Linked DNA regions of Anolis sagrei. The protein of the gene in region 2 purifies or fractionates together with the protein of the main gene of each other region. This does not show direct contact. Links are inferred from orthologs where the notes say so. Each region holds a gene or a part of one and is shown on either strand. Other genes may lie near its edges. The genes, in order: E3 SUMO-protein ligase RanBP2, NXF1, RANGAP1 and FYTTD1.

The links.
Region 1: the proteins of NXF1 (region 2) and E3 SUMO-protein ligase RanBP2 purify together in Homo sapiens (co-immunoprecipitation; 5 studies listed by BioGRID and IntAct, with this or other methods). This does not show direct contact. The link is inferred for Anolis sagrei from reciprocal best matches to the Homo sapiens genes NXF1 and RANBP2.
Region 3: the proteins of NXF1 (region 2) and RANGAP1 purify together in Homo sapiens (co-immunoprecipitation; 3 studies listed by BioGRID and IntAct, with this or other methods). This does not show direct contact. The link is inferred for Anolis sagrei from reciprocal best matches to the Homo sapiens genes NXF1 and RANGAP1.
Region 4: the proteins of NXF1 (region 2) and FYTTD1 purify together in Homo sapiens (affinity purification with western blotting; 3 studies listed by BioGRID and IntAct, with this or other methods). This does not show direct contact. The link is inferred for Anolis sagrei from reciprocal best matches to the Homo sapiens genes NXF1 and FYTTD1.

The regions. Positions count from the first base shown.
Region 1 is NC_090023.1:107,223,342-107,230,865, forward strand, and holds the start of E3 SUMO-protein ligase RanBP2, read left to right. Parts: upstream 1-4,309; 5' UTR 4,310-4,486; coding exon 4,487-4,561; intron 4,562-7,524. UniProt on the Homo sapiens protein: E3 SUMO-protein ligase which facilitates SUMO1 and SUMO2 conjugation by UBE2I. Involved in transport factor (Ran-GTP, karyopherin)-mediated protein import via the F-G repeat-containing domain which acts as a docking site for substrates.
Region 2 is NC_090032.1:12,370,256-12,377,654, forward strand, and holds the start of NXF1 (nuclear RNA export factor 1), read right to left. Parts: upstream 3,155-7,399; 5' UTR 2,970-3,154; coding exon 2,939-2,969; intron 1-2,938.
Region 3 is NC_090025.1:161,611,008-161,618,337, forward strand, and holds the start of RANGAP1 (ran GTPase-activating protein 1), read left to right. Parts: upstream 1-4,082; 5' UTR 4,083-4,292; exon of another isoform or gene 4,293-4,352; intron 4,353-7,330. UniProt on the Homo sapiens protein: GTPase activator for RAN. Converts cytoplasmic GTP-bound RAN to GDP-bound RAN, which is essential for RAN-mediated nuclear import and export. Mediates dissociation of cargo from nuclear export complexes containing XPO1, RAN and RANBP2 after nuclear export.
Region 4 is NC_090023.1:267,833,547-267,841,636, reverse strand, and holds the start of FYTTD1 (UAP56-interacting factor), read left to right. Parts: upstream 1-4,991; 5' UTR 4,992-5,102; coding exon 5,103-5,196; intron 5,197-8,090. UniProt on the Homo sapiens protein: Required for mRNA export from the nucleus to the cytoplasm. Acts as an adapter that uses the DDX39B/UAP56-NFX1 pathway to ensure efficient mRNA export and delivering to the nuclear pore.

The DNA.
Region 1 (7,524 bases), on a different chromosome or scaffold from region 2:
TTGTATTTCATTTCCTTCTTGTGCCTTATTCTGCCATATGTATGCAATATTAGCCAAAATAGCTATATACCGTTACCTTGTATTTTTATGCAGTCCATTCATGCCAAGGCCTTTCAAATGATATGGCATATACTCAGCCTTTTCAATGTCAATATTTTTAATGATAAAAGATAATTTTCAAAGCTAATTTCCTTTTTATTTTCTCAATTCACTTATTCCAGAATAGTACACAAAATAAAAATCTGAACGTGTACAGATTCCAACTGAGAGTGTTGTGTGTTAATTGGTTAATAAAATATAATTATTTCAGCTTCTTTCTTTGCTGGCTAGAGATTACATATAAGTAACTACAGTCCTCCATATATGCCATATACCAGTCTTTATCTTCTTGCCCATTAATCATGATGACCATATCTAAGAAACCAGAGATGGTGCGGTCTATCCAACTCACAACCTTGTGCATTTTCCTGCAGGAATCAGTTGTTTATCCCACATAAGGAATTTTTGGTTTAGAGATTTACATTATGTATCTTTGTTAAATATACTTTGCTTAGTACATTGAATGCTGGAGTACCATAGCATAGATATGCTATACATCCTTATGATTATATAACAGTATTACTTTTGGTGTATAGTAGCTTTTTGCTCTTTGTATTGCGGTCTATCCAATGCCATTTTCTGAATCAGAGCCCCAAATTACCGTAGGAATAAGTCCCAAGACCAAAGTGTTCATGGAATTTACTTCCAAATAATTGTATATAGGATTTCAAAGCTGAACTCAGTGGGAATAAACATGTAGGATTGTATTGTCATAAATTTGATTTTGCTACAAAATTACAAAGGAATGACAAATCTCATTCATAAATTAGTTTCAAATTTATAATTATGCTGACCTGATGGTTCATCAAGGTCCATCAGGAGAGGCAGATAAGAAATAAAATTATTATCATTATTATTGTCATCATCATATCACCATCATCACAATAGAAACAGTATCCAAAAATGATGTGGTGGTATAATAATAGCAATACTGTGTATAAAAACATTTTAAATATGTATTTAGTTACAATATTTTTATTCTGCCCTTCTCACCCTGAAGGGGACTAAGGGTGGATCATAGAAAACATATATATGGCAAACATTCAGTGCCAATTATAACAATGACAAGACAGGCAACAGATAGACGTATAGATGGGCTTTCCCATCTTCCAGCATCTTTGGACGCTGTGCTTGGTTCTGCTGTCGCTCCACCTCCCTGCCTCCCTGTTTAGAACTGGGTCTAAGCATTCATATCATAAATCTTGGTTCCAAAATTATACCTATCCCCAAAACTCCCAAACTATGCTATTAACTCTTCTACTACATATTATGCTGTTTCCTTGACAGTCAGGGAAACAGCAATAGTCTGGATGACCTATTTCACCAGTGGCCTTGGTAATGTCAATCCCCAGATATAAATTTCTCAGTGTCCTTTAGGCAATGTTCTTGCAGACGGCCAATTCTCTCACACCAGAAGCGACTTGCAGTTTCTCAAGTCACTCCTGACACGATAAAAAAAATCCCTGTCATGGGCTCTGTAATGTACCCACACAATAAAAAAAATCCCTCAATCACAGGCTCTGAAATGTACCCACAAGCTTTGTAAGCTCCTCAACGCCCAATCTCAATAATAACAGAACATACCTTGGGTCAAGAATCTACCGAAAATAAAGTTGTGATGGTATAAAACCGAAGACCGCTTTGTGGTGATCAGAGGTGAGACCAAGTTCTTACTTTATTTGGAAATTCATCATTCTTGGGTTAATGATAACACTAGCCAACACACATTTTGATGCCTCAAATGTTAGGCCTGTTTCAGGACATATTTGGCCTGCTGATTCAAAAACTGGCATCAGTTTCCCCCTCTCAGCTCAAGTTTTTGAGATACAGAACACATGCTATATATCAGCCTTCATCTGCTCGCCTATGAGAAATCATGGTAACCATATCTAAGAAACTAGAGCTGATGTGTTCTATCCAATGCCATTTTCTGAATCAATGCCCCAAATAATCCCAGAAACAGGCCAAAAAACGAAGTTACAATACTTTTTTTTTGTTGGTCTGTCTTACGGGTGCATCTACATTGTAGAATTAATGCAGTTTGACACCGGTTTAGCTGCCATGGCATGCAATCATGGGAATTGTATTTGGTGAGGCGCCAGGACTCTGTGCAACAGTTCCCCCGATTCTGTAGCATAGTTAAGGTTCTGTCATGCTTCATTAATTATACACCCTATGTGTATGTGTTTTCATACACTCAAAGAATTTAAATAATTTGTATAAAGCGACCCTCAAGCTATGTGAATCAGATATGAAACATTAACAAATTTCGCATTTAGACTTGGGTCTCATTTTCAAAATATGCCATTATATGCAAATACTGGTTCAGGCATGTGGGGGGGGGGGTTGAGGGGCTTCAGGGCAGGCCCGTAGCCAGGATTTCGTTTCGGGGGGGGGGGGGGGGGGCTGAATTTTTTTCAGGGGGGCTGAGTCTGAGTGAAAGAGGGTCTACCCTCTACCCTTTTGTATTATTACCCCAATACCCCCATGCATATGGGATATATTGAGTATGGTGATCAGATCATGATATGAATAAACATAACAGTTTAAATAATGCACCAGTAAGGCCTTTTCGCTGAAGCCCCCCGAGCCCCCCCCGAGCCCCCCCCCCCCAGCTACAGGCTTGCTTCAGGGTGGTCTTACTGGTACACTAGTTATGTTTATTCATAACATAACGGTGCTCCATGCAGTCATGCTGGCCACATGACCTTGGAAGTGTCTACGGACAACGCCGGCTCTTCGGCTTAGAAATGGAGATGAGCACCACACCACAGATTCGGACACAACTGGACTTCATGTCAGGGGAAAACCTTTACCTTTACCTATGTTTATTCATATCATCTGATCACCATGCTCAATATATCCCATATGCATGGAGGTATTGGGATAACGCTCCAGCAAAGGGTCACCGCCTTGTTGTGGCGCTGGAGCTTGAGCACCTCAATGATGTCATGAGCGAAACCGTGAAGGGCCACCCAAGACGGGACGGTCGTGGCAGAGAGGGCAGACCAAGCGTGATCCCTGGGGAAGGCAACGGCAAACCACCCCAGTATCCTTGCCAAAAAAACTAAATGGACCAGTACAACCAGAGATATGTTGGTATGCCATTGGAAGATGGGAAGATGACACCACTCTGATGGCCGAAAGCGAGGAGGAGCTGAGGAGCCTTCTAATCAAGGTGAAAGAAGAAAGAGCAAAAGCTGGGTTGCAGCTAAACATAAAAAAAAACAAGATTATGGCAACAAGAATGATTGACAACTGGAAAATAGAGGGAGAAAACGTGGAGGCCGTGACAGACTTTGTATTTCTAGGCGCAAAGATCACTGCAGATGCAGACTGTGGCCAGGAAATCAGAAGTCGCTTACTTCTTGGGAGGAGAGCAATGTCCAGTCTCGATAAAATAGTAAAGAGTAGAGACATCAGACTGGCAACAAAGATCCGCTTAGTCAAAGCCATGGTATTCCCTGTAGTCACCTACGGATGTGAGAGCTGGACCTTAGGGAAGGCTGAGCGAAGGAAGATCGATGCTTTTGAGCTGTGGTGTTGGAGGAAAGTTCTGAGAGTGCCTTGGACTGCGAGAAGATCCAACCAGTCCATCCTCCAGGAAATAAAGCCCGACTGCTCACTGGAGGGAAGGAGATAGAGACAAAGTTGAAGTACTTTGGCCACATCATGAGGAGACAGGAAAGCCTAGAGAAGACAATTATGCTGGGGAAAGTGGAAGGCAAAAGGAAGAGGGGCCGACCAAGGGCAAGATGGATGGATGGCATCCTTGAAGTGACTGGACTGACCTTGAAGGAGCTGGGGGTGGTGACGGCCGACAGGGAGCTCTGGCGTGGGCTAGTCCATGAGGTCACGAAGAGTCGGAGACGACTGAAAGAATGAACAACAACATTGGGATAACGATACAAAAGGTTTGCTAGGGTAGATCCTCACCCCCCCCACCCCACCCCCGAATCAAAATTCTGGCTACAGACTTGACTGGTATCCAAAAACCCGGAATCCCAAACTTCTGACCCCATTCACTTTGGGATAAGGGACCCTTAATATGTCTAACGGAACTCGGAAGGTTTCTCCCTACGCGAAGTGAGTGCATCCCTATTTATTTATCTCTATGGGCGCAAAATCGATAGGCCACACCCCTTCCTCGATACTATGAAGGAAGCGCGCCTTCTAGGCGCTTCCGCTCCACCGCTGCCCGTCATTTCCGTCGCGCCGCTGACGTAACAGACGTGTATTGAGGCCCGCGCGTACTGACGCTCGTGGTGGCGTCATTATCATCATCGTTCTTCGAGAGGGGAAGCTACGAGGCCGGCTCTGCGGGGCTCCCCACCCTCCTCCTCCTTTCTGGCGGCGCCAGGGCGCTCTGTGAGGGCCGCACGCCACCATGATGAGGCGCAACAGGGCCGAAGTCGACCGTTACGTGACCTCGCTACAGGCCTCGGCGTCTTCTCCCAGAGAGGTGAGTGGCGGAGTGCGGAGGGCTGGCTGGCTGGCTGGGTGGGGGCGTCTGTCTCAGGGAAGGGTGCCCGGCTCAGCGCTATTCCCGTCAAGGGTTCGCAGGAGGCCGCTGATTGGTGCGCACAACGTTCGCTTTTGAAGGCGTTCTCCAATGGGCTTCGGCGCGCGCCGGGCCCCTACCGCACACTCGCGCGTAAATGCGCCTCTCTCGGAAGGAGGGAAAGGAGGAGGAAGCCGGGCTGGGCCCCCGTGGTGTGGCTTCCCCTTTGCTCCTGTTTGCCAACACTTTTTGTGTAATTGGCGGGAACGCTCTTGAGTTGCATTTACACCACTATTAACAGCCATAGCTCCAATGCTATGGAATCCTGGGACCTGTAGTTTGACAAGGCCTTTAGACTTCCCTGCCAAACACTGCCAAAGTACAGGAGGATTGGAGATTTCTAGAGAGGTATGCTCTCTAGGAATTTCTAGGCCCTTGAGCACACTGCTTCTTAAACTCAGGATCCCAACCCTAAAGGAGTCGCTGTACCTCAGTGTTGGAATCATAGAAAATGTGTGTCTGAATGCCACCATTTACACAAATCTGTTAACAGTGTGTACTGTTTACAGTGGGCTCTGCAAAAAACGCTTCATCTGTATTCCACCAAAAGAAAAATAGCCTGTTTCACAAATTTTGCAAATGCTGATTTGCTATCAATAAATCTTTGTTTCTTATACCCATTTTATATACCTGGGGTAATATAAAAGTTTCTCAAGTGAAAAAGGTTTAAGAAGCCATTCTCTGTTACATCTCTGCAGTCAAACTCTGGCAGAAGTTACCATAGAGTCACACTGGAGATCTCAGAGTTTCTGGTAAAGGCAATAATAAAATCTGCAAATAGTCAGATCCATAAAGTGAACCCCACTAATGTGTAGGGTGGATTGTACATTCTCCAAACTCAACCCTAGCTATTTTGTTGACCTTTCACTTCCTATGTCAGCTTTTAAAGTATTCTATTAAAACAACATCAAATCTACAACAGCCTCAAGGCAATGCAACATAGGTTGCTGTTCGCTTCTCAATATTGTGAACGTTGCTCACGTGCAAATATCTGTGCGCTTGTTAGATTGGCCTCCAGTTGTCTGCTCTTAAATCATATGTTTCTTTTCCTCAAACACATTTAATTAGAACCCATGTATGATAATTAAAAGCTTATAGAAATTATGATGTTTGAAAATTTCTGTTTTGCAAGTTCTCACTGTAAATAATTTAATGGCTTTTCCATACTGAATTCTTGTCTACTTTGCAAGGGACCGAAGAGGCAAATTAGTTGCTTTATTTAAATTTAACTTTTGATTCTAGTTGTTAGTAGCAAGTATTCTGTTCATTGTTGTTTAAGGGTTTTGTTGAATGGATTGTTGAATGGATTAATCACCATTGTTCAAAGTATTGGTTCTAACACTCCTTGTTGTTTTTTAACCCTTTAAAATTGATAAACTGGCCCACATCCTTTCTAAATCACCAGTGGACCACTCCAAAAAACGTAACAAGTAAATATTACTCCTAATAACAAAAAATGATGTTTGATGTGTTAATTTTAAAAAATGATATTATTTGACCATGTTGCCCCAGAGCAACAAGTTACAGGTAGTAAGATGATTTCTTCCAATATGGAAAGCCTTCCATTGTTTTCACTTGTCTGAAAATCCAGTTTAATGATTGCCAACCTTGAACACACGAAACATTACTTAGTATCTATTTACAGTGTCCCTTATCCATGGCGCTTGCACCGGCAGTTTTATTTACCCATGTCTGGCAAAATATGTCCTCTCCAGGTATTTTCTAGATCCCTTAGCATGAGTTTATGGTATTCTTGAGCCAAATACCCATCATTTCAATAAGATTCGCTATTACTGTGGCTCCATGTGTCCAAGTGAAGTCCAGGAATGTGGATACACATCTCGTACTGTGTTGAATTTTAAACTAATGCAAAAAAAAAAACCTATGTTGGGCCAACAGAATATCTGATTGCACAGATCCCTGCTCTTAAAGTAGAAGGTAGCACATCAAAAAAAGAGATAGACAGGTTCCTCTTATATTTTTTGCATGCACTACTCCACTCTATTATCAGAACAGAGTTTTGCAAATTCACATTCTTCTCTGTGACACAAAAATCTTTAATTTTTTTCCTGTCTAGAAAATGAGAAACAATATTATATTCTCAACTTGGGTTCTGATAAATCACCATTCAGCATGCAGAATTCATCAATTCTGCAAAATCTAATGTTTGTCTCCATTGGCAATAACTTAAAGTGTCCTACCTAGGTAGTGGTCCGTTTATGTGGTTCTCAAGATGCCATTAAAAAGGGAGATGCTAACTGGATCTTCAGATTTAGCAGGAGATAAGACAGGTCTATAGTAAGTAGGATATCCCAGTTCAAGTCTCTCTGGCCATATAATATGAAATAAACATTTATGGCCAACGGTTGCTCAGGATGACTTGCAGTAAATCATAAAAATGTTGCATGTGTTAAGAATTGAATGTGACACGTAATTTTGCAACCACAAAAGAACTATTTGTAACTTTTAAAACTATTTAAACCAATACCAATCGGTATCGACTTAAATAGTATCTCTCAGAAATACAGTGTACTGCATTTCTGAGAGATCTATGTTCGCTTTTCTCTGTTATAAAAGGGCTAGAATGAGACATCTGTGACCTTTTTCATAATCGTTAAAAAAAACACCCCAGTAGCTTTTCCTTAACTTCCAATTTAGGTTGAAATGATGGGCTAGTATAGCTTCAGTTACACAACATTTGACACAACATTCTTTACCTTGGAACACCTAGCGATCTACATTTTTGTTGTTGAGGGAGGAACTTTTTGATACATCTGAAAAGTGGTTTTCTGGAGTGACTAGTTTGTATCTCAAAGTTTACAGAAATATTTAGTGCTTTTAAATAGCCACCCTATCACCCTTGA
Region 2 (7,399 bases):
CCACCATCTGTGAGGATGTGTATTCTTGTCTAGCAGAAGGGGGTTGGACTAGATGGCCCTTGGGTCTCTTCCAACTAGGATTCAATAATAATAATAATAATAATAATAATAATAATAATAAATAACAATCATGATGATGCTGGGTGGTCTCTTCCAACCGTTGGATTCTACAACAGTAATAGGTAATAATCATGATGATGAAGGAAGGTTTCTAATAAGGTTTCTGGAGGTTTCTAATAAGATGCTAGGTGGCCATCTGTTGGGATGTCTTTGATTGTGTGTTCTTTTCTAGCAGAAGGGGGTTGGATGAGATGGCACTGGGAGTCTCTTCCAACTAGGATTCAATAATAATGATGATGATGATGGTAATGATGATGGATGGCTCGGGGGGTCTCTTCCAACTCTAGGATTCAATAATAATAATAATAATAATAATAATAATAATATAGTAATCATGATGATGGGCTGGATGGCCCTGGGGATCTCTTCCAATTCCAGGATTCAATAATAATAATAATAATAATAATAATAATAATAATAATAGATAAACCAGAGCTCACATCAGGCACAACAAAGCATTGCATGGACAGTTCCTTAACAGAATTGAAGGAAAAGTTGACAGGGAGAAAACTTGGTTATGGCTCACGAATGGAACACTGAAGGAGACAGAAGGCCTGATTCTTGCAACCCAGGAGCAAGCCATCAGAATAAAAGCCATTAAAGCCAGGACTGAAACATCAGCGGATGACCCAAAATGCAGACTGTGCAAGAAAACAGATGAAACCATGGACCATCTCCTCAGGTGTTTCAAGAAAATCGCACAGACGGACTACAAACAAAGACACAACTCTGTGGCCCAGATGATTCAATGGAACTTATGTCACAAGTACCACATATTTATGATCCTTTGTGGGATCATAAACCCGCAAAGGTCGTGGAAAATGAACATGCAAAAATACTGTGGGACTTTCAAATCCAGACTGACAAAGTTTTGGGACACAATACACCAGACATCACGATTGTGGAAAAGAAAAAGGTCTGGATTATTGATGTCGCCATACCAGTGACAGCTGTATTGAGTAAAAACAATAGGAAAAACTCAGCTGCTATCAAGACCTCAAAATCGAGCTGCAAAGGCTCTGGCATAAACCAGTACAGGTGGTCCCAGTGGTCATTGGTGTACTGGATGCCATGCCAAAAGATCTCAGCCGGCATTTGGAAACAATACACATTGACAAAATCACAATCTGTCAACTGCAAAAGGCCACCTGACTTGGATCTGCGCGCATCTTCCAAAAATACATTACACAGTCCTAGACGCTTGGGAAGGGTTCAACTTGTGATTTTTTTATACGAAATCCAGCATATGGATCTTGTTTGCTGTGACATACTGTGCTTTTGTGTCAGTAAAATTATAGTAGTTAATAATAATCATGATGATGGACTGGATGATGATGATTATTATTATTATTATTAAACTTTATTTGTACCCCGCTAGCATCTCCCGAAGGACTCGATGCGGCTTACAAAGGCCAAGGCCTCAAACAACAACAACAGACAATAACAATACAATGCAAGCAAATTAAAAACATAAGCAATAACAAAAACAAAACATTACACTATTACGCAATAAAACCAGGGCCGGGCCAATGAAGGGTACAGGTTAAAAAGTGCTGGGTGTAAGAGGTGATATGTTGGGATTCTGGGCAAGTGCAATGTGCAGAGAGTCTTAAGCTCTAATAGCCCTGGGGGTCTCTTCCAACTCTAGGATTCAACAACAACAACAGCAACAGCTGGTGTTGACCTTTAAAGCCCTAAACGGTTCCGGCCAAAGCTACCTATCCGACCGCATCTCGGCCTATGAACCCACCAGGACTTTGAGATCTTCCGGGGAGGCCCTGCTCTCGGTCCCGCCAGCATCACAAGCACGGCTGGCGGGGACGAGAGATAGGGCCTTCTCGGTGGTGGCTCCCCGGCTGTGGAACGCCCTTCCCACAATTAGATTAGCACCATCTCTAATGGCATTCCGCAAAAAATTAAAGACCTGGTTGTTTGTGCAGGCGTTCGAATAATTAGTGCAATGACTGGCAATGACATAGGAATGGAACAATGGATGACGAATCTGGAACATGTTTTTGATGACGAGACGACAGTGAATGGGTATTGTAGTAACTGTTTATTAATTGTGTAATGTGTTAGGTTGTTAACTGTTTTTATACTGTAGCACTGAATTTTTGCTGTTTGTATTTGTTGTGTAAGTCGCCTTTGGGCTGAGAACAGCGGTATATAAGTAAGGTAAATAAATAAATAAATATTCTGGGCAAGTGCAATGTGCAGAGAGTCTTAAGCTCTAATAGCCCTGGGGGCCTCTTCCAACTCTAGGATTCAACAACAACAGCAACAATAATGGAATGTCGTTCTCTGGAGGTTTTTAAAAGGATGCTAGATGACCATCTGTCAGGAGTGCTTTCTTGGGGTCTTCCTGCGTGACAGAGGGTCGGACTGAATGACCCTTGGGGGTATTATTCAAACCCTAGGATTCCATAACAATAGTAACAATAGTAATAGTTGATAACAATGATGGTGAAAGTGTCTTTCTCTGGAGCTTTCCAAGCGGAGGCTGAGTGGCCATCTCTTAGGAGAGCTTTGGTGGGGCCCACCTGCCTGGCGGAAGGGGGCGGGGGTGGATGACCCTTGGGGCCTCTTCCAACTGGAGGATTCAGAGGCTGGATGGCCATCTGTCAGGAGGGCTTGGATAGTTCCTTCCTGCCTGGGCTGGATGACCTTTGGGGTCTCTTCCAACTCGAGGATCTTTAGGCTCAGCTTCCCTCTCAGAGGCCTAATCCCTTCACCGCAACGGAGGTCTGGTTGGGCCTCTGCTGCTCGGCGAGGCCTTCCCAGGCGCCCGACCCGCCTCTGGCTCCCTTGAGGCCCTTACCGCTGTAGCCCCCTTTCCCTCCGTCCGCCATCGACCGGAACGGGCCTTCCACGAGCCTCCTGCGCGGAGAAGTGGAGAGCGGCAGCGGAAGACGTCACAAGGCCGACGGGATGCGTCTTCGCCTCAGAAACAGCCGGTCGAATCGAGCCAGAGGCGTCGAAAGAAAGGCCCCTCACTCGCTGACGGCACTGCGCATGCCCGGAAGGGCGTTTGCGTGAGCACGTTCGGTCCAGGCATGCGTAGTTGCGTCAGCGAGTGAGGGGCCTCTTGGCAGGTTACTACGCCAGGCGCATGCGCACTGTTCTAGATGCCACTACATTTCCCGGAATGCGCGCGCAACTCGGCTCCAGCCTTCTTGTTTCTCTCCGAGGACATGGAGCCCGGTGATTAGAGAGTGACGCTTCTATGCGTGTGGGTTTGTACTACAAAGCCTTCTCCATGGCTTCAGGGATCTGGACCACACTAGGCACACAGGCTTTTCATTGTCCAACTTAACAAAATAACCTATAATTATACTGGCTAAGTTAACTAAGATGAACTGAACCACCTCAACTGGGCTCGCCAGGCCAATGGAGACTCCACCTCAGACATCAGAAGAGCTGCAAGACCGAGAACAAGCCACGAGAGTCAAGATGAAGATCCACCCAGAGGAAAAGGGTTCCTGCCATACATCAGCTAAAGCTTGTGCGCCAGTTGCGCCCGTATCTTGGGAAGTCTGACTTGGCCACGGTAGTCCACGCTCTGGTTACATCCCGTTTAGACTACTGCAACGCTCTCTACGTGGGGTTGCCTTTGAAGACAGCTCGGAAGCTCCAACTAGTCCAACGCTCGGCAGCCATGATGTTAACAGGAGCAGAGTGCAGGGAGCATACAACCCCCCTGTTGTGCCAACTCCACTGGCTACTGATCTGCTACCGGGCTGATTTCAAAGTGCTGGCGTTGGCCTTTAAAGCCCTAAACGGTTCCAGCCCAAGATACCTATCTGACCGCATCTCTGCCTATGAACCCACCAGGACTTTGAGATCTTCCGGGGAGGCCCTGCTCTCGATCCCGCCTGCTTCTCAAGCTCGGCTGGCGGGGACGAGAGATAGGGCCTTCTCGGTGGTGGCTCCTCGGCTGTGGAACGCCCTTCCTACGGACATTAGACTAGCACCATCTCTAATGGTATTCCGCAAAAAGGTGAAGACCTGGCTGTTTGAGCAGGCGTTCCAATAATTAGTGCAATGATTGGTTAATGAACACTGGAATGGAACAATGGATGACGAATCTGGAACATGTTTTTGATGACGAGACGACAGTGAATGGGTATTGTAGTAACTGTTTATTAATTGTGTAATGTGTTAGGTTGTTAACTGTTTCTATACTGTAGCACTGAATTTTTGCTGTTCGTATTTGTTGTGAACCGCTGTGAGTCGCCTTCGGGCTGAGAACAGCGGTATATAAGTAAGGTAAATAAATAAATAATAAATAAACCACTGACCGCATAGGGAAGCTGATGAGGAAACACAACATACAATCTACAGACCCACCAAGAAAATCCAACAAATGCTCCGTTCAGCAAAGGACAAGAGGAATCCTCTCACCTCTGCAGGAGTCTACCGTATACCATGCAGCTGTGGACAAGTCTATATAGGGACCACCACACGCAGCAATGCCCAGACACGAATCAAGGAACATGAAAGGCACTGCAGACTACTCCAAGCAGAGAAATCAGCCATAGCAGAGCACCTGATGAACCAGCCTGGACACAGCATATTATTTGAGAACACAGAAATGCTGGACCACACCAACAACCACCATGTCAGACTACACAGAGAAGCCATTGAAATCCACAAGCATGTGGACAATTTCAACAGAAAGGAAGAAACCATTAAAATGAACAAATCTGGCTACCAATATTTAAAAACTCTAAAATTACAACAGCAAAACAACAGAGAGGAAACAACCAGGCACAGATTAACACCTCCCAGCAAGAGATTTTCCCAGGCTCAGGCAGGCCTTCAAATGCTAATGAAGGTGATCAGCTGAAACATTCACACCTACCTCCAGCAGAGAAGAGCTCCTTGCCCCACCCCAGCCATTCCACAGATATATAAAGCCATTGTCCTAATTCCAACAGACCTCACTACCTCTGAGGATGCTTGCCATAGATGCAGGCGAAACGTCAGGAGAAATGCCTCTAGAACATGGCTCTATAGCCCGAAAAAAACCCACAAGAACCTAACCTATAATTATATTGACTAAGTTAACATTTGTTTGTTTGTTTGTACCACAAAGGCTCCTCCCTGGCTTGATGGACCTGGGCCAAACTTGGCACACACACCTCTTCATTATCCAAATTAATATCACAAAGGACGACCACCTTACCCACCTCATAGGAAACCTGCTACAAAACAGGAGCTTTTTTTGTTGAGTTCCAGGGCCAGAGAAGCAGATGGCGGAAACAGAAGAACGGCCTGCCTCAGGGGAGCGTGCTTGCTCCATCCATGTTCAACATCTACACAAATGACCAGCCACTGCCAGAAGGGACAGAGTTTCATCTATGCTGATGATCTTGCCATTACTGCTCAAGCAGGGAGATTTGAGATGGTAGAACAGAAGCTTTCGGAAGCTCTAGGTGCCCTTACTGCCTACTACAGGAAAAAACCAGCTGATCCCCAACCCATCCAAAACACAGACATGTGCCTTTCATCTCAAGAACAGAGAAGCATCCCAAGCCCTGAAGATCACCATCTCTGAAGAAATCCCACTGGAGCATTGCAGCGCACCCAAATACCTGGGAGTCACTCTGGACCGTGCTCTGACCTACAAGAAGCACTGCCTGAACATCAAGCAAAAAGTGGGTGCTAGAAACAAAATCATACGAAAGCTGACTGGCACAACCTGGGGATCACAACCAGAGACAGTGAAGACATCTGCCCTTGCGCTGTGCTACTCTGCTGCTGAGTATGCATGCCCAGTGTGGAACACATCTCACCACACTAAAACAGTGGATGTGGCTCTTAATTAGACATGCCACATTATCACGGGGTGTCTGCGCCCTCCACCACTGGAGAAATTACACTGCTTAGCCGGTATTGCACCACCTGACATCCGCCGGGAAGCAGCAGCCAATAGTGAAAGGACCAAGGCAGAGACATCTCCAGCTCATCCTGTTTGGGTATCAGCCAGCACGTCAATGACTTAAATCTAGAAATAGTTTTCTAAGATCTACAGAGACACTCGCTGAAACACCTCAGCAAACGAGAGTCCAAAAGTGGCAGGCTCAAACCCAGCACCTCAATCAATGGCTGATACCAGATGAGAGACTCCCCCCTGGGCACACAGAGGACTGGGCGACTTGGAAGGCGCTGAACAGACTGCGCTCTGGCACCACGAGATGCAGAGCCAACCTTCAGAAATGGAATCCTCGACATGTGAGTGTGGAGAGGAGCAAACCACTGACCACCTGCTGCAATGCAACCTGAGCCCTGCCACATGCACAATGGAGGACGTTCTTGCAGCAACACCAGAGGCACTCCAAGTGGCCAGATACTGGTCAAAGGACATTTAATCATCTACCAAACACACAAATTGTGTATTCTGTTTGTTTGCTTTGTTCTGTTAGAAATGTAATATAATATGACCGGTTGTCCTGACATGACAAATAAATTATCCTAATTGAAATAATTGAAGGGGTTGAACTTTTAAAAAAACCCCACAGCTCCTTTCAAGCTCAGAAAAGGAAGGAAGCGGATTGTTGCTGGGTGAAGTGGCCCTCAGTGATGTGACTGGGAAAGAAAGGGAGTGAGGCAGATGGACTGCTGCCAGGTGACATGTGTATGAGGAAGAGGAAGGGAAGAAGAAAGAATAACAAGAAGGGAATGAAAGGAAATGAGAAGGGAGGGGAGAGCAAAATGGAGAAAACCGCAATGCATGATGGTGTGGAGGTTCTGGCAGCCAACGCAAGGAATATCTGAACCATGAATTGGACTTTACCAACTTGATAAGAAAGCGCAAAAGCTGGGTTGCAGTTAAAACATCAAAAAACTGAAGATTATGGCAACTAGACTGATTGATAACTGGCAAATAGAGGGAGAAAACATGGAAGCAGCGACAGACTGCAGGCAGCAGCCAGGAAATCAGAAGATGTTTCCTCCTTGGGAGGAGAGCAAGGACCAATCTCAATAAAAGAGTGACGAGTCAAGACATCAGAATGGAAGTCCGCATAGTTAAAGCAATTGTATTCCCCATAGTAACCTATGGATATAAGAACTGGACCATAAGGAAGGTTGCGCGAAAGAAGATGATGTTTTTGAACTGTGGTGCTGAAGGAAAATTCTAGAGTGCCTTTGAGGGTGACATAGTTTTTAAAGGGAATTTTCAGTGATGCTTTCAATTATTGAAAATCCTATGTGCCTGCTTTTACAAAGGGCCTTTGTTTGCAAAAATGCTGATGTGTAGAGAAAGAGCTGCCAAGGA
Region 3 (7,330 bases), on a different chromosome or scaffold from region 2:
AAAATCACACAGACAGACTACAAACAGAGAGACAACTATGAGGCCCAAATTATTCATTGGAACTTATGTCAGGAGTACCACCTGCCAGTAGTAAATAACTGGTGGGACCATAAACCTGCAGTTCCATCTTGTCTCCTGCAATGTGCTTATAATATGATATAATATAATACAATATAATATAATATATTGTATATACATATAATATTGGTAATATTATAATGTAATACAATGTAATACTAATAATAATATTATAATTATATATTTTATATTACATGTAATATTACTAACAATATTACAGTATAATGTTATAGTACAATCGAATATATAGTATTAATATTGTGCTAGATCCGCATAGTTAAAGCAATGGTATTCCCCATAGTCACCTACAGATGTGAGAGCTGGACCAAGGGGAAGGCTGAGCAAAGGAAGAGATGTTTTCGAACTGTGGTGCCACAGGAAAGTTCTGAGAGTGCCTTCGACTGCGAGAAGATCCAACCAGTCCATACTTCAGGAAATAAAGCCCGACTGCTCATTGAAGGGAAGGATAGTACTGCTCATTGAAGGGAAGGATAGCACCGGGATTGTGGCGCAGCTGGCTGAGTGTCAGCTGCACTAAGATCACTCTGACCAAAAGGTCATGAGTTTGAAGCCAGCCCGGGCTGGAGTGGGTGTCCAGCCATTGTGTAGCCTGTTGTCGACCTTTGCAACCCGAAAGACAGTTGCATCTGTCAAGTAGGAAAATAAGGCACCACCTTGTGTGGGAGGCTAAATTTAACTAATTTATGAGGCCATAAAGAAAAAAGACTCCGGGGAATGTGGAATGCGGAAGAACTTCATCGGTGTCGCTGATGGACGATGAAAAGCAGCAGCTCCCCTGGCGGCCAGAAAAAAGTTAAATAGCCTTGGTGTATTTGTGTGTTAAACGTTGTTTGTCAAAACTGGCACTGAATGTTTGCCATATATGTGTTGACTGTAATCCGCCCTGAGTCCCCTGCGGGGTGAGAAGGGCGGAATATAAGAACTGTAAATAAATAAATAAATAAATAAATAAATAAATAGTAGAGGCCAAGATTAAGTACTTTGACCACATCATTAGAAGAAAGGAAAGCTTAGAGAAGACAATTATGCTGGGGAAAATTGAAGGAAAAAGGAAGAAGGGCTGACCAAAGGCAAGATGGATGGATGGGATCCTTGAAGTGACTGGATTGACCTTGAAGGAGCTGGGGGTGGTGACTGCCAACAGGGAGCCGGACACAAAGAGTCAGAAACGACTGAACAAATGAACAACAACAAAATGGTAATATAATATATTGTATTTACTTTTTACATGTAAGCCGCTCTGAGTCTCCTTCGGGGTGAGAAGGGCAGCATATAAATGTTGTAAATAAATAAATAAATAATAGTGTAAATGTGTGTGTGTGTCAGGAGTGACTTGAGAAAGTGCAACTTGTTTCTGGTGTGGGAGAATTGGACATAAAATAATATTTGGACATAAAAAATTAAAAATGATAATACAATAACATTTATATTAAAAACACTCATTTGGAGAGTACGCAGGAATATCCTGTCACCTGACATCAATTTTCTTGCGGCTGATAATCCTTTTTTTAATGCATGCACAAATATTGTTTTACCTATGAAAGTAATCATTGTGCTTTGTATTTTTTCACAGATCTCTTGCTACATTCATATGCAGAACAAAAATACATTTATATATATTGTATAACTTGTAATGCCAAAAGAACAGAGAGGAGTGGAAGTGTTTGGAATTAAAGCTGTCTCAGTTTTCTTTGCTTATGCACTCTCTAATGAACTCTATGCTCTCTCCATTCCTTCCTCTTTCTATTAATGGGATTTCCCCCTCTTCATAGTCACCAGCTGATTAATGTGTATATTCTAATTTTAATGTGTATGTCACCATATGTGTGTGTGTATGTATGTATATACTGTGGGCTACTGAAATGATCAAAGGTCTGGAAACCATTAATCCCTATGAGGAGCATCTTAAAGAAATGAGTACGGTGTGTTTATACTGCAGAAGAGAAGACTGAGAGGAGACATGATGGCCATGTATAAATATGTGAAAGGATGTCATAAGGAAGAGGGAGAAAGCTTCCTTTTTGCTGCCCTGGAGACTAGGATTCAGAGCAATGGGTTCAAATTACAGGAAAGGCGATCCCACCTGAACATTAGGAAGAACTTCCTGATTGTGAGGGCTGTTCAGCAGTGGAACTCACTGCCTTGGAGTGTGGTGGAGGCTCTTTTTTGGAGGCTTTTAAACAGAGATTAAGATCTTATTGGGAGGCCCTGTTCTCAGTCTCGTCACCATCACAGTGATTGGCGGGGATGAGAGACAGGGCCTTCTCAGTGATTGCCTCCCTGGCTACGGAACTCCCTTCCTGGCAAGATTAGATCAGCCTACTCCCTCCTGTCATTCAGAAAGATGGTAAGAGCTTGGGTTTTTGCACTGCCTTTGGAGCAGTGCAATAAGGCAACAACAGAAAACTTTACACTGCCAACCAAAGTCAATATGGCTGTTTTGAGACGATTTTAAATAATTGATTTCAAAGTGGGATAACGGATTTTAATGTTTATGTTTTTTTATAGTTTATTTATGTTCTGGCATTTAATGTTTGCCGTATATGTGTTGTGCTCTGCCCTGAGTCCCCTTCAGCGTGAGAAGGGTTGGAATGGAAATGTTTTTTAAAAATAGATAAATGAAATAGAGGCTGGATGGTCCTCTGTCGGGGTGCTTTGAATGTGATTTTCCTGCTCCCAGGCAGGGGTTAGACTGGATGGCCCACAAGGTATCTTCCAACTCTATGATTCTGTTGGCCTGCTTCTTGAAAGCAATACTTACAGAGTAATTCTATTGACTTTGGGTGCATGTACACCAGGCATAGGCCAACTTGGGCCCTCTAGGTGAGGCTGAACCTGGAACTCCCTGCCTTCAAGTTGATCTGACCCACAGCAGGGAGTTCCTCAGTTCTCCATTGCCCCGCTTGGGCCAACCGCATGAACGTGACCACAGCAGCAGCTGCAACTCAGAAGCCTTCTAATTTCTTTGCCTTTCCCCCTTACTAACATTGTAATGAATCCCCCCAATAAAAAGTATGAATTAATTGTAACTTTTTTCCTCTCCATAGTGTTACTTTGTGTCCCTTTACTGCCTCAAACTTCTCTTTCGATAAACCTTTCTTCTCCCGGGCTGCAGATAACTGCCGGCCCTCCCGGAATGCGATTTTCGCATCCCGGGGAGGCCGAAACTGCACTCCCTTAAACAGCGGGTATGGAAACCCTTCGGGGCCCCGTATCTGCGAGTCAACGGATCGCTTCTAAAATTGTGTCATTCTTCTCCTGGGAGAATTCTAATACTAATGGCTATCTTAGTTTTGCTCTGCTGCCCCGGGAATAACCTTTTTAGCCTCTAAAACCCCAACCTGGCGTCCAGCTGTTTTTTCAAAGATGTTGCCTTGCGGGAGCCTCTAAATTCTAGCTCGATATCAGGAGTTGAAGTCCAAAACACCTGGACGGCCCAAGTTTGCCCGTGCCTGGTCTACTGGCTGTTAGGAATGGTGGGAGTTGAAGTCCAAAACACCTGGAGGGCCCAAGTTGGCCTGATCTACACTGTAGAATTAACACAGCTTGAAATCACTTTAATTGCAGTGGCCCAATGGTATGGAATAATGGGAACTGTAGTTCGGTGAGGTACTAATACAGTACTCTTTGGCAGAGAAGACTAAAGATCTTAAACTACAACTCCCAGGATTCCATAGGATTGAGCCCTGGCAGCCAAAATAGTTGTCAAACTGCGTTAAGTCTAGAATGTAGATGGGCACAAAGAAACAAGGAAATTCCGTCTTCTACACAAGGTCCAGGAGCCTTCTCTAGTCTAGAACCCAATTGGTAAGGAATGCTGCTTCCTGGTGCCTTCCTCAAACGGCTTCAAACGTTTGGTTATTAAAAACTACAACTCCCATGATGCCTCGCGACAAAGGCGGCTGCGTCGCGAGGCACGAAATTGTGACCTCCCCCTCCCGCTGCCCACCCGCCTCAGTCTCTGAGCCACCCCTGGCTGCACGAGGAGGGCCTCTGGGAGGACGAGGAGGAGGACCAAGATCCACTCTGCGCAAGCGCAAGAAACAGAAGCGCTAAGACAGCGAATCACCATCCAGGAAACAAAACTGCCGGCTTTCAAATCCTCCGCCTCCTGCTAACGCCATCCTCCTCCCCCTCTTCTCCAGAGGCAAGAGCGCGGCGACGTGAAGGGCTGCGATCGGGGGACTCCGCAGGTTCGTGGGTTTGATTTATTGGAGCACGTTTGACTAAACGGCGGAAAGAAGCGTGGGAGGGTGAGTTAATTATTTTTGTTCCTCTGAAATAAAGTTTCCTCGCGTTTCCCGGCAGTTTGAGGAAGGAAAGACACGCTGGCGTTTGGCCCCAGGGCTACACGTGTGGGCGCATCCACACGTCGTCACGGTACACGTGTCCTGGGCTATTACAGACCGGGATTGGAAAGCCTATCCAAAACTGATCAGTTTCTTCCGTGTGTGACGTCACGCCCCGTGGGACCAAAGGCCTGGGCAAACATGGGCCTTCCAGGTGTTTTGGAGTTCAACTCCCATCATTCCTTACAGCCTCAGGCCCTTTCCTTTTCCCCCTCAGCCGCTTAAGCGGCTGAGGGGGAAAAGGAAGGGGCCTGAGGCTGTGAGGAATGATGGGAGTTGAACTCCAAAACACCTGGAAGGCCCAAGTTTGCCCATGCCTAGTCTACACCGTTGAATTAATTAAGTTTGACACCACTTAAGGTGTCTCAGTGGTGTGGTATCATGGGAGCCTCAACAAACTACAACTCCCATTGAGCCTTGGCAGTTCAAGCAGGACCAAACTTCATTAATTCTACAGTGTAGATGATTATATAAATGATGACAAAAATAAATTGGAAAATGCATAGGAAAGGGATAGTAGTAGTAGTAATAATAATGCTCAGATGATTCATTGGAACTTGTGCCACAAATACCATCTGCCTGTCACAAAGAACTGGTGGGATCACAAGCCGGGAAAAGTTACAGAGAATGAACATGTCAAACTCCTCTGGGACTTCTGGATTCAGACAGAGTTTTGGAGCACAATACTCCTGACCTCATGAGTATGGATCGTCGATGTTGCAATCCCAGGTGACAGCAGGATTGAAGGGAAACGACTGGAAAAGCTGACACGATATGAGGATTTAAAGATCGAACTGCAAAGACTCTGGCACAAGTCAGTCAAGGTGGTCCTAGTGGTGATCGGCACACTGGGTGCAGTGCCTAAAGACTTTGTCCTGCACTTAAACCCAATCGGTACTGACAAGATTACCATCTGCCAGCTGCAAAAGGTCACCTTACTGGGATCAGCACACATTATTTCCCGATACATCACACAGTCCTAGACACCTAGGAAGTGTCTGATGTGTGATCCAATACAACAGCCAGCAGAGTGATCTTGTCTGCTATGGACTCATCTTGTTGTGTTTCAAATAATAATAATAACAATAACAACAACAACATTATTTGTATTCCACCCTTTCTCCCTGAGAGGACTCATGGCGGATTCCAGCATAACAATGGCAAACATTCAATGTCTTCATAAAACACACAATACTAATACGAATAGTAGGGATATCAGATCAGCCCCCAACCTCATAATATTTCGTAAAAAAGTTAAAACTTGGCTTTTTGTGCAAGCTTTCCTAAATGCAGTGTAGCAGACAAACTGATCTTTGGAACAACTGGACAATGCGATGAGATAATGATTTTAGTAATGAGACGCTGAGGATTTATACTTTTATGGGTTTTATTATTTTATTTAATGTTATTTATGCTAAATGTATTAATTGTTTTTACGTTATTGTGAATATCAAATTGTGCCATTTGCCCTGAGTCACCCTTGGGCTGAGATTGCAGGATATAAATATGGTAAATAAATAAGGAACCCCCAGTGGTGTAGTGGGTTAAACCGCTGAGCTGCTGAACTTGCTAACCGAAAGGTTGCAGGTTCGAATCCAGGGACTAGTGTGAGCTCGTGCTGCTAGCCCCAGCTTCTGCCAACCTAGCAGTTTGCAGTAGATCAATAGGTACCACCCTGGCAGGAAGGTAATGGTGCTCCATGCAGTCATGCCAGTCACATGACCTTGGAGGTGTCTATAGGCAATGCCAGCTCTTCGGCTTAGAAATGGAGATGAGCACCAACCCCCAGTCAAGCATTGTTAATGTCAGGGGGAAGCCTTTACCTAGTAAGAATAGTGAGGAATCAGGAGCGGCTCATTGCCTCCATATAGTAAAAAAGTTGATATATGATTCGTGATTTCCATGAATAATTAAGAAATAATGCAGTTGCAGTCCTTTTTGAATTTCAGAAGCGATCCTAGTTGGATGTATTGTTGAAGGCTTTCATGGCCGGAATGACTGGGTTGTTGTGAGTTTTCTGGGCTGTATGGTCATGTTCCAGAAGCATTCTCTCCTGACATTTTGCCTGCATCTATGGCAGGCATCCTCAGAGGTTGTGAGGAGGTCTGTTGGAAACTAGGCAACTGCTAGACCATTAAATCCTAATCAAGGTGGCCAGTTGAAACATTCACACCTACCTCAAACAGACAAGAGTTCTTTCTCCCACCCTGGACATTCCATAGATATATAAACCCCATTTTCCTAGTTTCTAACAGACCTCACAATCTCTGAGGATGCCTGCTATAGATTCAGCTGAAACGTCAAGAGAGAATGCTTCTGGAACATGGCATACAGCCCGGAAAACTCACAACAACCCACTGATCCTAGCTGGCCTTGTGGATTAAGCGCAAGTAAAAGCCAGTAAATACTACACAATACTGGTCCTATCAACTACAAATGGGCTGCTCCATCTCCAAATTGCATTTCTGACAATGCAGCCAAACTCTGTGGGTCAGTGGAAACATGTGAGGAAAAGGGACCTTTTGAAATAATGTGTGTTTAGCGCTTTGAAAGAGATTACTAGCAGTTTTTGTATTGTGCTCAGAAATGCTACACAAAGCTGTTGTACTGCAGTTGCAAAGGGATCCCTTACGTAAACACAAAGTACACTACAAAACCATTATTTCCTAAAGCTGCCACTTGATTGGGTTACTGTGAGTTTTCTGGCTATATGTCTATGTTCCAGAAGCATTCTCTCCTGATGTTTCGCCCACATCTATGGTAGGCATCCTCAGAGGTTGAGGGGTCTGTTGCAAACTAGGCAAACTACATTTATCCAGCATCTGCTAATCCCCATGAATGCTGGTTAACTGAGGCCCCTTCCACACAGCTGAATAAAATCC
Region 4 (8,090 bases), on a different chromosome or scaffold from region 2:
AGACTGAGAAGCCACGGTCATTGTGTTAAACTACATCACCAGTGGAACCTCATCTGTGAAGACTGTGTGTTGTTCAGTTGTGCACTGACCTCCACACATTAAAAAAACCCACGCACAGGCGTCTTCCAAAGAAAATAAAAACCAAGCAACCAAAGTCCCATGGCGATCAGCGAGTGGCGACGGGGGCAGGACTGTGAAATCTGGAAGCCCCTAGTCACAGACTGGCACATGGGCGGTGGGTACGGACTCAGTCGCTCTACCTCAAGGTCCGAGGCAGTTGAGTAGTTCGGCAGCTGTATCCGCGACTGAGCAGCCCTTTTTAGGACCCACTCTGCTCACCCCACACGGGGAGGGGGCTAGAAAAGGTGCCCTAAACATAGTCTGCCTCACTTATCCCTGACTGGACTGCCGCGTCCAGTGGGGTCACCACCCTGCGGCCAAAAAAGGAAAATGAACTTCGGTACGTGGAACGTACGGACTCTGATGGACAACAGTGACAGTGAACGCCCCGAACGCAGAACTGCCATCATCGCAAGGGAGCTGGGACGCTTCAACATCGACATAGCAGCCCTTCAGGAGACCCGGAGAGCAGGAGAGGGACAGCTGAAGGAAGAAAAAGGAGGCTACACCTTCTTCTGGAAGGGACTGCCCGAAGAAGACCAAAGACTGCACGGAGTTGGCTTTGCCATCAGGAATGATCTGGTGAAACATCTCTCCGAAGCACCCACTGGCATCAACGAACGACTCTCAACCCTCCGAATTGATCTTGCCAAAAACCAACGGGCAACCATCATAAGTGCCTATGCACCAACACTAGACGCTGATGAAGACATCAAGGAGAAATTCTACTGTCAGCTGGACAACGTCCTATCGGGGATACCTAAGGAGGACAAAATCATTCTCCTGGGGGACTTCAATGCAAGAGTCGGGCGAGACTTCGACCTGTGGCCAGGCACCATAGGAAAAGACGGGGTTGGAAACAGCAACTCGAATGGCATCCTGCTTCTCACCAAATGTGCGGAGCACAACCTTGTCATCACCAACACGCTCTTCCGCCAGAAAAACAAGTTCAAGACATCATGGAAGCACCCACGGTCAAAGCATTGGCACCTCTTAGACTATGTAATCACACGTGCCAGAGACCGCCGTGACGTACTCCTCACAAGAGCCATGACAGGTGCTGACGACTGCTGGACCGACCACAGGCTAATCCGATCCACGATGGCTATCAAGATTGCCCCCAAGCGCAGACTCCAAGGAAGAAAGACAAGGCGCAAAATGAACACCCAAGCCCTTCAAGAGCCCTCCAGGCGAGCCCATCTCCAAACAGCACTCAAGGACCATCTACCCACAGTACACCCCGAAAATGTTGAGGAACACTGGAACAAACTGAAGACCTCCATCATCCAAGCCTGCGAAGAATCTATTGGATACCAAGCCAAGAAACATCAAGACTGGTTTGACGAAAATGACATCGAGATCCAACAGCTAATCGACAAGAAAAGGAAAGCCTTCCAAACATGGCAGAGAGACATCAACTGTGCTGCTAAGAAAAAGATCTACGCCAGTGCAAAAGCTGAGGTCCAAAGAAGGACAAGAGAACTCAAGAACATCTGGTGGACAAAGAAGGCTGAAGAAATCCAACACCTGGCAGATACCCATAATGCTCAAGGATTTTTCAAAGCCACAAAGGTCATCTATGGGCCAAGAAACCATGGCATACAGCCTCTACGCTCATCAGACGGAACCAAACTCCTGAAGGACCAAAAGTCAATTGCACTACGTTGGAAAGAACACTACCAAAGCCTCCTAAACCGCAGCTCCAGTGTGGCCGAAGAGGTCCTCTCACAAATCCCGCAACAACAAACCAGGGATGAGCTTGCAGCACTGCCTAGTTTGGAAGAAGTCAGCAATGCCATCAGCCAACAAAAGAACAACAAAGCCAGCGGACCGGATGGGATCCCTGCTGAAATCTTTAAAGAGGGAGGACCTGCGCTGACACACCAACTCCACCAGCTCATAGAAAAAGTGTGGGTGACCGAGAAAATCCCAGCAGACTTCAAGGATGCCACCATCATCACCCTCTTCAAAAAAGGGGAAAGAACAGACTGCGGAAACTATCGAGGTATCTCCCTTCTAACCTCCGCTGGGAAAATCCTCGCAAGAATCCTTGCAAACCGCCTTCTGCCCCTCTCAGAAGACACCCTCCCAGAATCCCAGAACGGCTTCCGCCCCTCCAGAGGAACTGTGGACATGATCTTCACTGCACGACAACTCCAAGAAAAATGCAGGGAACAAAACCAACCTCTGTACATGGCATTCATCGACCTTGCAAAGGCATTCGACACAGTGAATCGCAGCGCTCTCTGGACCATCCTCCACAAAAACGGGTGCCCAAGCAAATTTGTGAACATCCTGCGGCTCCTCCACGATGACATGATGGCAACAGTCTTGGATAGCAATGGCTCCCAAAGTGACCCATTTAAGGTGGAATCGGGTGTCAAACAGGGATGTGTTATTGCCCCAACTTTATTCTCCATCTTCATCGCCATGATACTACACCTTGTTGATGGGAAGCTTCCCACCGGAGTGGAAATCATCTATCGGACAGACGGCAAGCTATTTAACCTCAGCAGACTGAAAGCCAAAACCAAGGTCACAACAACATCTGTTATAGAACTCCAGTATGCTGATGACAATGTTGTCTGTGCGCATACAGAAAAAGATCTACAAGCCACTCTCAACACCTTTGCAGAAGCATACACAAAGCTTGGCCTGTCACTGAACATCGAGAAAACCAAAGTGCTGTTCCAGCAGTCACCAGCCGCCCCCTCTCCAATGCCAGAGATACAGCTTAATGGCGTAACATTAGAAAATGTGGACCATTTCCGCTACCTTGGCAGCCACCTCTCCACCAAAGTCAACATCGACGCCGAAATACAACACCGCCTGAGCTCTGCCAGTGCAGCATTTTCCAGAATGAAGCAGAGAGTGTTTGAGGACCGGGACATCCGTAGGGAGACCAAGGTGCTTGTCTATAAAGCTATTGTCCTCCCAACCCTGCTATATGCCTGTGAGACGTGGACTGTCTACAGACGTCACATGCAGCTCCTGGAACGATTCCATCAGCGCTGCCTCCGGAAAATCCTGCAAATCTCCTGGGAAGACAAGCGGACAAACGTCAGCGTGCTGGAGGAAGCAAAGACCACCAGCATTGAAGCAATGGTCCTCCAACATCAACTCCGCTGGACCGGCCACGTTGTCCGGATGCCTGACCACCGTCTCCCAAAGCAGTTGCTCTACTCCGAACTCAAGAACGGAAAACGGAATGTTGGTGGACAGGAAAAGAGATTTAAAGATGGGCTCAAAGCCAACCTTAAAAACTCTGGCATAGACACTGAGAACTGGGAAGCCTTGGCCCTTGAGCGCTCCAGCTGGAAGTCAGCTGTGGCCAGCAGTGCTGCAGAATTCGAGGAGGCACGAGTGGAGGGTGAAAGAGAGAAACGTGCCAGGAGGAAGGCGCGTCAAGCCAACCCCGACCGGGACCGCCTTCCACCTGGAAACCAATGCCCTCACTGCGGAAGAAGATGCAGAGCAAGAATAGGGCTCCACAGCCACATGCGGACCCACAAGGAAACCCATGATGGAAGACCATCTTACTCGTCCAACGAGGGATCGCCTAAGTAAGTAAGAAGTAAGTAAGTTCATATCTGTATTTTATTAATATAGATAGATAGATAGGGCTGGTCCATATCTGTATTTTATTAATATAGATAGATAGATAGATAGATAGATAGGGCTGGTCCATATCTGTATTTTATTAAGATAGATAGATAGATAGATAGATAGGGCTGGTCCATGAGGTCAGGAAGAGTCAGAAACAACTGAACGAATGAACAACACAGATAGATGGAGAGATAGAGAGATAGGTAGATAGATAGGTAGGTAGGTAGGTAGGTAGGTAGGTAGGTAGGTAGAGAGATAGGTAGAGAGGTAGGTAGATAGATAGGTAAGTAGGTAGGTAGGTAGATAGGTAGGTAGAGAGATAGATAGGTAGATAGATAGATAGATAGATAGATAGGGCTGGTGCATGAGGTCAGGAAGAGTCAGAAACAACTGAACGAATGAACAACGCAGATAGATAGATGGAGAGATAGAGAGATAGGTAGATAGATAGGTAGGTAGGTAGGTAGAGAGATAGGTAGAGAGGTAGGTAGATAGATAGGTAAGTAGGTAGGTAGGTAGGTAGGTAGATAGGTAGGTAGAGAGATAGATAGGTAGAGAGCTAGATAGATAGATAGATAGATAGGGCTGGTGCGTGAGGTCAGGAAGAGTCAGAAACAACTGAACGAATGAACAACGCAGATAGATGGAGAGATAGAGAGATAGGTAGATAGGTAGGTAGGTAGGTAGGTAGAGAGGTAGGTAGATAGATAGGTAAGTAGGTAGGTAGATTAGGTAGAGAGATAGATAGGTAGAGAGCTAGATAGATAGATAGATAGATAGATAGGGCTGGTGCATGAGGTCAGGAAGAGTCAGAAACAACTGAACGAATGAACAACGCAGATAGATAGATGGAGAGATAGAGAGATAGGTAGATAGATAGGTAGGTAGAGAGATAGGTAGAGAGGTAGGTAGATAGATAGGTAGAGAGATAGGTAGGTAGGTAGATAGAGAGAGAGATAGGTAGATAGAGAGAGAGATAGGTAGATAGGTAGAGAGATAGGTAGATAAGTAGAGAGATAAGTAGAGAGATAGAGAGATAGATAGAAGACATGCCTTTAAGTGATTGCAGGACGCTGCAATACTCCTCCTGGCCAGCAGGGGGAGCTGAGCTCCTTTGAAGGCCAAGGAGGCCGGTGTAAGACGCGCACGCGCAGTAGCCCTAAGCAACAAGCTCCTCGCCCGTCCCCTCTTCGCGGGGCCGGCGCACGCGCAGGAGGCGTTGCCTCCCCTGCCGGCTCGAGGCCACAACCGGCGCGCGTGCGCACTGCGGCGCTCGCGCATGCGCAGAAGGAGGCGAGCACCATCGCCTCACGGTTATCTCTCTCTCTCCATCTCTGTGTGTGAAGCGCTTGGCGAGAGAGGCCTTTCCAGCGGCCATGAACGGCTTCGGCGGCGGCGGGGGCAGCGCTGGCCTCGGCCCGCTCCGGAGCACCGGCGGAGAAACAGTTGAAAAAATCGACATGTCGCTGGGTGAGGAGAATTTAAAAGCTTGGGGCCATCCATTTGTATCAGAAAGGGGGGGGGGAGAGAATTGGGCCTGTGGGATGTACCATTGGAAGCAGAGCGGAGGGGAGGGCGGCTTTGGAGGATTCCATCCCGAGGAAGGAGCGAGAGGGAACGTTGGCGCCGCCCCCACGTGGGCGGGGCCGAAATTGATTGGCAGCTCCTGCAGGGAGGGGGCGTGGCCTTATATTAGATAGAGGTGTATATATATATATAGGCTTTCCAATCTTTGACATCTTGGAGGCTGTGCTCAGTTCCAGCCACGTGGGGGATCAAATCACCGGCATTTTTCTCACATTTCCTTATAAAGCGGTACTTATTTATTTATTTATTCCACGACATTTATTTACGACATTTTATATGCCACCCTTTTCACCCTCAAGGTGAAAAATGTAAACAACATAGATTTTCAGATTTGGTTTCAACCTGCTTTCTGAAAAAGCAATTAAAGCATTAGTATAAGTCAGCCATAGCAGAGCACCTGATTAACCAGCCTGGACACAGCATATTATTTGAGAACACAGAAATGCTGGACCACACCAACAACCACCATGTCAGACTACACAGAGAAGCCATTGAAATCCACAAGCATGTGGACAATTTCAACAGAAAGGAAGAGACCATGAAAATGAACAAAATCTGGCTACCAGTATTAAAAAAACTCTAAAATTACAACAGCAAAACAACAGAGAGGAAAAAAACCAGGCACAGATTAACACCTCTCAGCAACAGATTTTCCCAGGCTCAGGCAGGCCTTCAAATGCTAATGAAGGTGATCAGCTAAACATTCACACCTAACTGCAGCAGGGAAGAGCTCCTTGCCCCACCCCAGCCATTCCACAGATATATAAACCCATTTTTCCTACTTCTGACAGACCTCACTACCTCTGAGGATGCTTGCCATAGATGCAGGCGAAACGTCAGGAGAAATGCCTCTAGAACATGGCTCTATAGCCCGAAAAAACCCACAAGAACCCATTAGTATAAAATTAGACACTAATTTTTCGTATCTCTAGCAGTATTTAAAAAACACTGAAAGTATAAGAACAAAGCTTAAATATCTAGAACTCTGTGGTCTAGAAGATCTGGATCATGTTTAACAGACGAAGCGGCTTACAAGATATATTATTATTATTATTAAACTTTATTTGTACCCCGCTAGCATCTCCCGAAGGACTCGATGCGGCTTACAAAGGCCAAGGCCACAATACAACAACAGCACAACAAAACAACTCAAAGCAAAATCAAAAACATAAAGCAATAACAACAAAACATTACACCATGACACAGTAAAAAACTAGGGCCGGGCCAAGTAATGGGTACAGAATTAAAAAGTGCTGGGTGTGACAGGTGGCATGTTGGATTTCAGGGCAAGTGCAATGTGCAGAGAATCTTAAAATTCTAATAAAGTGCTTCTGGGACATAATGCTGGAGTTTAATAATATATATATATATATACACACACACACACACACAATATATTATTTATGGGTTGCAGCTAAACATCAAAAAAACCAAGATTATGGCAACATGAATGAATGATTGACAACTGGAAAATAGAGGGAGAAAATGTGGAGGCCGTGACAGGGTTTGTATTTCTAGGTGCAAAGATTACTGCAGATAAAGACTGGCCAGGAAATTAGAAGACGCTTCCTTCTTGGGACTGACCTTGAAGGAGCTGGGGGTGGTGATGGCTGACAGGGAGCTCTGGCATGGGCTGGTCCATGAGGTTACGAAGAGTCGGAGACGACTGAACGAATGAACAGCAACAACAACCTTTATTTATTTATTTATTTCACAGCATTTTATATGCCGCCCTTTATTATTATTATTAACTTTATTTATACCCCGCAAAATCTCCCGAAGGACTCGATGCAGCTTACAAAGGCCAAGGCCGCCAACAACAACAATATACAATACATAATAAAACTCATAAAAAATAAAATAAAACTCATAAGCAAATAATAAACCTCAAGCAAACAATAAAACAGTAAAACGATGACACCGTGACACACTTTAAAACCTACAGGCCGGGCCAAATGTAATAGTTGTTGTTCATTCGTATAGTAGTCTCCGACTCTTCGTGACCTCATGGACCAGCCCACGCCAGAGCTCCCTGTCAGCCATCACCACCCCCAGCTCCTTCAAGGTCAGTCCAGTCACTTCAAGGATGCCATCCATCCATCTTGCCCTTGGTCGGCCCCTCTTCCTTTTACCTTCCACTTTCCCCAGCATCATTGTCTTCTCTAGGCTTTGCTGTCTCCTCATGATGTGGCCAAAGTACTTCAACTTTGTCTCTAGTATCCTTCCCTCCAATGAGCAGCCGGGCTTTCTTTCCTGGAGGATGGACTAGTTGGATCTTCTCGCAGTCCAAGGCACTCTCAGCACTTTCCTCCAACACCACAGCTCAAAAGCATCGATCTTCCTTTGCTCAGCCTTCCCTAAGGTCCAGCTCTCACATCCGTAGGTGACTACAGGGAATACCATGGCTTTGACTAGGCAATGGATCTTTGTTGCCAGTGTGATGTCTCTACTCTTTACTATTTTATCGAGATTGGACATTGCTCTCCTCCCAAGAAGTAAGCGTCTTCTGATTTCCTGGCCACAGTCATAATAATCATAATAATATTAATAATAATAATAATAGACAGAATTTAAAAGTGCTGAACTTGACATGTAATATGTAGAGGTATTTGGAGGTAGGTGCAATGTGCAGATAATCCTGAATCTCTAACAAAGTGCATTTGGGACTTGAAGCCGGGAGTTTCCTATTCTGGAAAGGCACACTGGAACAGCCAGGTCTTCAGGCTCTCCCTAAAGACTGCCAATGTTGGGGCTTGTCTGATGTCCCTGGGGAGAGA